Linked DNA regions of Sus scrofa. The protein of the gene in region 1 binds, or shares a complex with, the protein of each later gene. Links are inferred from orthologs where the notes say so. Each region holds a gene or a part of one and is shown in the gene's direction. Other genes may lie near its edges.

What was found.
Region 2: EIF3J (region 1) and EIF3E share a complex: the UniProt entries of both Homo sapiens proteins name them as parts of the eukaryotic translation initiation factor 3 (eIF-3) complex. The link is inferred for Sus scrofa from reciprocal best matches to the Homo sapiens genes EIF3J and EIF3E.

What each region holds. Positions count from the first base shown.
Region 1 is NC_010443.5:127,016,295-127,020,673, reverse strand, and holds the start of EIF3J (eukaryotic translation initiation factor 3 subunit J), read left to right. Parts: upstream 1-1,409; 5' UTR 1,410-1,543; coding exon 1,544-1,592; intron 1,593-1,677; coding exon 1,678-1,781; intron 1,782-4,379. UniProt on the Homo sapiens protein: Component of the eukaryotic translation initiation factor 3 (eIF-3) complex, which is required for several steps in the initiation of protein synthesis.
Region 2 is NC_010446.5:29,295,240-29,299,057, forward strand, and holds part of EIF3E (eukaryotic translation initiation factor 3 subunit E), read left to right. Parts: intron 1-947; coding exon 948-1,065; intron 1,066-3,818. UniProt on the Homo sapiens protein: Component of the eukaryotic translation initiation factor 3 (eIF-3) complex, which is required for several steps in the initiation of protein synthesis.

The sequences.
Region 1 (4,379 bases):
ACTCCCCATCCTCAGATCTTCTTAAAAGGCAGATTCTGATTCTGGGCTGGGATCTAAGATTCTACATTTCTAACAAACTCCCAAGTGTGGCTGATCAGGAAAAAACTTTGAGTAACTGGGCTGCAGAATATCTTTTGGAAGACCATCTTTATAAAATGTGGTCTATTTGTAGACTCACTGAAAAAGATACATAAGAAATGGGGAACACTGGTTGCCACCAGAAAGAACATAATGGCTGATCATCCTATATACCCATTTGAATGAATGTTGTACCAAGTACGTATGTTACATATTCAAAACTAAGAAATTAAGAAAACAACAAAAACAAAAATATGTTTAACAGCTCACCTTTTAAAATCCTGAAGTGGAGCTCAGTGGCCCAAGCTAGGTGCAGCTTAGCTCATCTTAAACCCTTTAGTATTATAAATTTATCTTTTCAGCTTATCTCTGATTGCGCCATTCAGTCAGAACAGGGACCACAAGCATAAAAGGCACTGAACACATTTCACTTGGTTGGTCTTTAAAACTCTTTATCGGCCTCACTTACCCTCAGGTAGCCTTTCATATATCCTACCTCTCTTCTCTGCGGTTAATGCTATCCTTTTACACTAAACCTCACAATGCCTTTTTGTTGCAGTCATCTCACTGTGTCGAAATTTGTTTATATGTCTATACTTGAGTGAGCGAGGACAAGGCTAGAGCTTACGCTTAGCGCAGATCGAGTTCCGAAATTATTCTGCGAAAAGAATGAATAATGTATTGACTTCAGGGGGCTCACAGGAAGGAAAAATTCTTGAACATGGGGACTCCCTTCCATATCTTCGTGACTACCTGGAGGCAAACGTGCCAGGAGCTGACTGAACACCCTGACTGGGAAGACTGCCAGGAGCTTGGCCCTCTCTATTCGCTTCTTCCTGGCCGCCCCATGCACCACCGGCTTCCAGAGGGATCCCGCCTCGTTCCGCCAGCGACCGCACCCTCCTGGGGTCGGGGAGCCAGGCGACTGCCGCCACAGGCGGGCTCGGCGTTCAGAGCCCACTTCTGAGTGCCGCGTGGAGAGGCTGCGGGTTTCCTTGGGACCAGCCAGAGGCCAAGGGTGGCGATCCATGTGAACAGAAGGAGGGCGCACCCGACCGGTCCGGGCGGGTATGGGTTAGGATGGCAAGGGCAGGAGAGAGCCAAGCACCGGGAAAAGGACTGCCCTGCTAACTTCGCCGCACTTACATTTTTCTCCCCAGGGCGTAGGGTGGCTGCCTCCTAGCCTCTTCCTCTCTCCCCACCCCACTAGCAGACAGGACCACCCTGCTGGGTGCGTGGGGTACTGGACGCTCCGCCTCGCCCACCGCGTTCCACGCCCCCTTCCCGCCCGCGAGAGCATCGCCGCCGCCGCCGCCGCCAGAGGGGGAGGAGCCTGGGCCCCGGCGTTAAGTCAGCCACAGTCCCAGCCTGCCCCGCGCCGGCAAACGAGAGCAGATCCAGTGACTCACTGCCGCGCTAACTCCTCGCTCGCTGTCGCCTCACACACGCTCATACCCGGCGCGAGATGGCGGCGGCGGCGGCGGCAGCAGCGGCGGGGGACTCCGATTCTTGGGGTGAGGAGAAGTTCCGGGGGTAGGCCGGGGCTGGCGCCAGCCCCACGCCCAAGCAAGCTTTAACACAGCTCGCTCTCTTCCGTAGACGCAGACACGTTCTCCGTGGATGACCCAGTGCGGAAGGTGGGGGGCGGCGGCACCGCCGGCGGGGACCGCTGGGAAGGCGAGGACGAGGACGAGGACGTCAAGGTGGGTGCGGGTCGGGGCTCCGGCCAGCGCGGGAGCGAGCTGGCGCCGTCGCGGGCCGGGGTGCTCGCCGAGGGGCGGTCGGTCGGACGGACTCTGGGCCCAGAGGCGCCGCCCCGGCCTGCGGGCTGTGGGTCTAGGCGCAAGCGTAGGGCCTGGTGGTGCCCTGTTCCCCTCGCTCGCCGGCCCTGGGGGCCGGAGGCCGATAGCGTGGTCTCTCGGATTTCCTTGGCGAGGACGCCAGCCCCATCCCTTTGAAGGACCGCACTCCGGCCTGGATCCCACTCGCCAACTGGCGACGGGAGGTGACAGCAGAGGCTGGACCGGCCCACGTGCAAACTTCGCGGTCCGGAGCTGCTCTTCAGTGGTGAGACTGGGAAGTTGAGGATGGAGCCTCTGGCTTATCCCATATGGAAAGTCTTGCACCCCATTGCTTTTTCGAGCTCAGGTTTCCCCAGGCCAGTAACTCATTTACATCCCAAGCTTCATTTGAAGAGTTTGTTCGAGCTGTTAGAGGAGTGAAATATTATGATTTAATTTCAGCCACCTTTTTTTCCCCCCACGCAAATGAAAGAATTTTTAGCTTCCTTTCTCCCACCCTATGGTAAAAGGGTGAACTGAGTATTGAGATAGCTAGCAGTTAGTGGTCAGAAACCTGGGTAGTCCACACAGCGACCTGAAAAATGGAGAGGTTTACAGAGTGAGTTTTTAATAACCTACACACGAAAGCATAAGGAAATAATGAAGATTTGAAGGTTGGAGAAGACGAGGGAGACAGTGATTTTTTGTGTGTTTTTCCTATGCCTTATAGATTTGAACCCAACTTACTCTCGCTGTTTGTTTATGAAAACTCCTGGGGGCTCATCATAAGACTTCAGATGACATTATGACTACTGCGTTTTGTTTTTGTTTTTGTTTTTGTTTTCAAGTATCTACAGAGTCTCAAGGGTGGAATGTTAAGACTTATTAACTAAGTTCTCAAATACTTCATTTTTGTGAAAATCAAGTTTTGTATGATTTGGAAATTTTTTTTATGGTTTTGATTCATTTGGTGAATGTTTACCCTTCAGCTCACTTTGACAACCCTACAAGTCCTTCTGCTTGTGTTGAAAAAAATTTAAGCTAGATAATCACTATGAGCTTCATATTAATATTGCCTTTTTTAGATTGTACCCTTTTCTCCTGAATCTGATGAGGTGGATGTTCAATTCATTGAATTGCCTGAGGTTCAAGTATGATTTGAGTTTTGCAGACCTTGGGATTAATAAATGAGCAATAGTATTGTGAAGATACTTAGATGCTTCATTTACATGTTGTGTAGACATGAGAATGGATTGTGTTAGCCTCATTGCAAGATACTAGTTACCTCCCTACGTGGTGGCAGATTTTCTGTCTTGAACCTTTAGTTCAGATTTATCCTTTTACTTTTTCTGTGCATAGTGGTTGTAGGAGTTAAGACATCTGTTAAGAAAATTAGGAATGAGTGAGAAGAAACAACTAGAGAAATCAGGAAAGAATTACCAAAATACGAAGTTTGAATAAAGTAGTCTGGATTAATATCATGAGGTAGCGTGCCTGAAATTATTTGATATAAATGCCATCAATCCTGATAAATACAGTTCTAGCCACTTGAAATTAATTTTGGACATTTTTAATTGGTGAGGGACCATAAAGATCATCTTGTCCAGTCATTTTTAAGTGCAGAATTTCTTTCTTTTATACAAATAGCGTACTTCTTTTACAGAAACTTTGATGTAGATCTTGGAATAGAAAGCTGAACTTGTTCATTTTATTTCCATGTTGAAATATTGGTTTATTTCTGTTTAGTTTCTCCAAAGATTTCTAAGATAAGGTATCCATGGAGTAGTTTGATTCCTGGAATTTGGAATCAGACAGACCAGAATCTATGCTGTTGTCTTGACATTTTCTATAAAGAATTTTTAAATTTTTTAAGTTTCCCAGTCTTCACAGAAGCTACCTCAGGAAATTATTTTGCATTTTCTATTTTTTGGGGGGTTTTGTTTTTGTTTTTTGCTTTTTTTAGGGCTGCACCTGCTGCATATGGAGGTTCCCAGACCTTTGTTCCCAGACTAGGGTTCTAATCAGAGCTGTAGCTGCGGGCCTACACCACCACAGCCACAGCAACACCAGATCCCAGCCGAGTCTTCGACCTACACCACAGCTCATAGCAATGCCGGACTCTTAACCCACTGAGCGAGGCCAGGGATTGAACCCACAACCTCATGGTTCCTAGTCAGATTCCTTTCCACTGTGCCACTACGGGAACGGGAACTCCTTTTGCATTTTAAATGAGATAATGTGTCAAGCATTAAGCATAGTTACCTGGCACTTGGTAGGCGTTCAATAAATGTTAATTCCGTCTCACTTGAGGATGTAGTCTTAATTTTTCTGGTTAATGGAAAATTTGTTAAGGCTGTGTAGATCTAGTAGCTGAGGGTTATTTTTGTGCCACAGTTTGTGGTTTATTAAGCTTGAAGGAGTAAGTTCTCTCCACAATGGCTGTTTACTGTGAATTTGTTTTGAATGGAATGACCATGGTTATCAAGCAAGTTTTTGCGTGCTCAGAGGTTACCAATCTAG
Region 2 (3,818 bases), on another chromosome or scaffold:
AAGTTGTGCTTATGGATCAAATTGTGCTTATGGATCAAATTGTTTCCTTAGAATTATCTGAGAATGTTGCAGGTGTTTGGCTTGCTAACTCTTAGTTAGTATCTTGTATGCCTTAGAGATCCCTCTTTTATTTTGTCTTAAAGCATCTGGGTATAAAAGTTAAGGATTTGATATTGCTGTGGCCTAGGTTGCAGCTGTGATTCGTATTTGATCCCTGGCTCAGGAACTTCCATATGCCTTGGGTGTGGCCAAAAAAGAAAAAGAAAAAAAAGGGCATTGGTATTAGTCCTGATTCTAAAACGTGTGGCCCCAGAACCAGCATTACCTGCTCACCTGGGAGAGCTTGTTAGGAATGCAGATTCTAAGGCCATATCCCAGGTCTACTTAATCAAAAACTGTTGGCTGAAAACTAGCACTCAAATTAGAGAATTACGGGAGTTCCCTTAAGGCTCATCTGGCCTTGTCACCGCTGTGGCTCAGGTGTTCCAGTTGTAGGGTTCAGTCCCTGGCCCAGAAACTTCTATGCTGTGGGTGTGACCAAAAAAAAAAAATATTCTAGGATAATATTCAGTGACAACAAATTCAGTGAGAGAATTCAGTGACAGTGAATTTAAAAACACTAAGAATGAAGTCTCTGAAATGTAGAGTTAAATAATTGTTCCTATGACAGTTTCTTCCCCCAGTGCATATTCCTCACTTTTCTTAAAGAATTTAAAAAAAAAAAAAAAAAAAAAGGATTCTCTTTTCCTTTATGTGCCTTTGTAGTGTTAGGTAGAGGAAATTGGATTTGGGATAGTTACTGAGTGGGTGATTCCTGGCCTGTAAATATGTTGGGGAGAAATGAATAAATATATGCACAATTTAGATAGGTTGAAAAATTTCCAGCGGTACCCTCACAGTGAGCAGTATGGTTTAACACTGTAGTACTCATTTGTGTTTCTAATTAGCTTTGAGAGAAAAAAGGACCACTGTTGTTGCACAACTGAAACAGCTACAGGCAGAAACAGAACCAATTGTGAAGATGTTCGAAGATCCAGAAACTACCAGGCAAATGCAATCAACCAGGTAATGTCTCCTTTATTTGAATTCTAAAAATTCTTTTTTCTGGATTAATACAAATGTTAATTCATTAGTGCTATGTTATTGTGGCCTAAAAGTTCAAGCTTTAAAGAATGGCTTTATCTTTTATTTTCATTTATCCTTATTGTGTAGGGACCAGGAAGTTCCTAATTATAAATGTTTGGTACTATTCTTTATAACTTCTTTACCAGTTAATACAAACTGGATTATGTTGAACAGCTCCACCCTCCTTCCTCCTTCCCAGGGGCCATTTGCCAGTGTCTGGAGACATTTTTAGTTGTCACAACTGGAGAGGTGCTACTGGTATCCAACCAGGAGAGTCCAGGGATACTGCTGTACATCCTAGAGTTCATCTGCCTGTACCCCACCTCCCCCAAAAGAATGACCCAACCCAGAATATCGGTAGTGCTAAGGTTGAAAAATGTTATATTTGAGTGTATTGCCCTAAGCACATGGGTTGTTCACTGTAAGAGAAACCTGAACTCACTTTATCACTATGCTATGTTCTCTCATATCCTTCCCTGCCTAGCCCAAGGAGGGTAGTATAGAGCTACCATACATATAGATACGGTTGTATTTTATTCTTGACTTCTTCTTAACTGGAAATACACTTACTGTTTGGTTTCTAAAGAAAGCGTGTTACCTTACTGTGGAAATATATATCACTAATTGAAGCCCTTTGGGTTGTTTAAAAATGTTTAAAAATAAAATTGAAATAAAATCAGGAGTTCCCATTGTGGCTTAATGGAAATGAATCTGACTGGTAACCATGAGGACACAGGTTCTATCCCTGGCCTCGCTTAATAGGTTAAGGATCTGGTGTTGCCGTGAACTGTGGTGTAGATTGCAGATGTGGCTCGGATCTGGCATTGCTATGGCTGTGGTATAGGCCAGCGGCTACAGCTCCAATTCGACCCTTAGCCTGGGAACCTCCATTTGCTGCAGGTGTGGCCCTAAAAAGACAAATAAATAAAGGAAAATAAAATCGTCTACTAAAATTTAATGTTGCCATTGTAGTAAATCTTATCTGTCAGTATTGTCACTTGAGGAATTGTTCAGATTTACCATATTGCACCTTGATAAGTCATTGAACCAAATTTTTAAAATTTATTTCTTTCTCTAGCTACCTCCCTATCTACCTACCTACCTACCTATCTGTCTATCTACCCATCTATCTATCTACCTATTTATTTGTTTATGGCTGTGACCACAGCACGTGGAATTCCTCTGGCCAGGGATCAAACCCACACCACAGCAGCAACCCAAGCAGCTGCAGTAATGACACCGGATCCTTAACCTGCTATACCACAAGAGAACTCCTGAATCACATTTTTAGAGTGATTGACTCTTAAGTTTTCATTCGTGATTTGGGAAAGTGTTAATAGATATTTTTTAGAAAAGTAGCAAATAACTGTACTTTTTCTATACTATTCTATAATATACTACATATATATACAGAGATAGCTATATCTTACAAAGCTATTATATGTATTTTCATATATATGTATATAGCTTGTATATAGTTATCTCTTGTGTGTCTACGTATGCTTGTATACACTTAGAATATAATGAGTAATTATAGGCCTTTAAGTCACATGTAAGTGCCCACAAAGGGACAGCTGAAATAATCTAGATGTTAGGGTACAGCAGAAAATTTAGGGTTTAAATTTTAAGTTTAGTTACTAACACACTAGGAAGTAATAGGATTAGGGTATGAATAAGATGAATGTAGGTTTGTTCACCAATATTAGAACTCCTTGTAGCTTAATAGGTACTGAGTTGGAGATAAATGAAAGGGTAGATTGCGGGTTAAAAAGTTGTAATCTAATTTAATTTATAAACTGATCATTTTTTGAAATAGTAACCTCTCCCTGCCGATTCCCCATTTTAAAATTTCATTGAATAGGAGTTCCCTTTGTGGCTCAGTGGTTAACGAACCCGACTAGGATCCATGAGGATGCAGGTTCAATCCCTGGCCTCGCTCAGTGGGTTAAGGATCCAGCATTGCCGTGAGCTGTGGTGTAGGTCGCAGATGTGGCTCAGATCCCACATTGCTGTGGCTGTGGTGTAGGTCAGCAGCTGTAGCTCCTCTTTGACCCCTAGCCTGGGAGCTTCCATATGATGTGGGCGTGGCCCTAAGAAGCAAAATAAAATAAAATAAAATTTCATTGAATATATAGTGTTGTCCTCATGCTTTCCCAGAAATACTCAGTCAGCCAGAGGACAATGATTATATACCTGAGTATATAAGAGATGCCAAACAAAGTTATTCATCATGATCTACAGCAAGATCTTTTTTGTTTGTTTGTTTGTTTGTTTGCTTTTTAGGGCTGCACTTGCTGAATATTGAAGTTCCCTGGCTAGGGATTGAATTGGAGCTGCACCTGCTGGCCTGTGCCACAGCCACAGCAACTTGGGATCCAAGCTGCATCTGTGACCGACACCATAGCTCACGGCAACACTAGATCCTTTACCCGCTGAGCAAGGCCAGGAATCAAACCCACATACATCCTCATGGATACTAGTCCGGTTCGTTACTACTGAGCCACAATGGGAACTCCTGAAACCTTTTTATGTTAAAATTTCATGGGTTTCTATTCAGTATTGTAATGTGCTCTTGTTAATTTTAGTAATAACACATCACCTCCCCGGTGAAATTATGTTCCCAGAAGACACACCATAATGTTCCTTCTTGCAGTAAGCATGAGAGAGAATGATTTTGTTTTTGAAAATGTCCA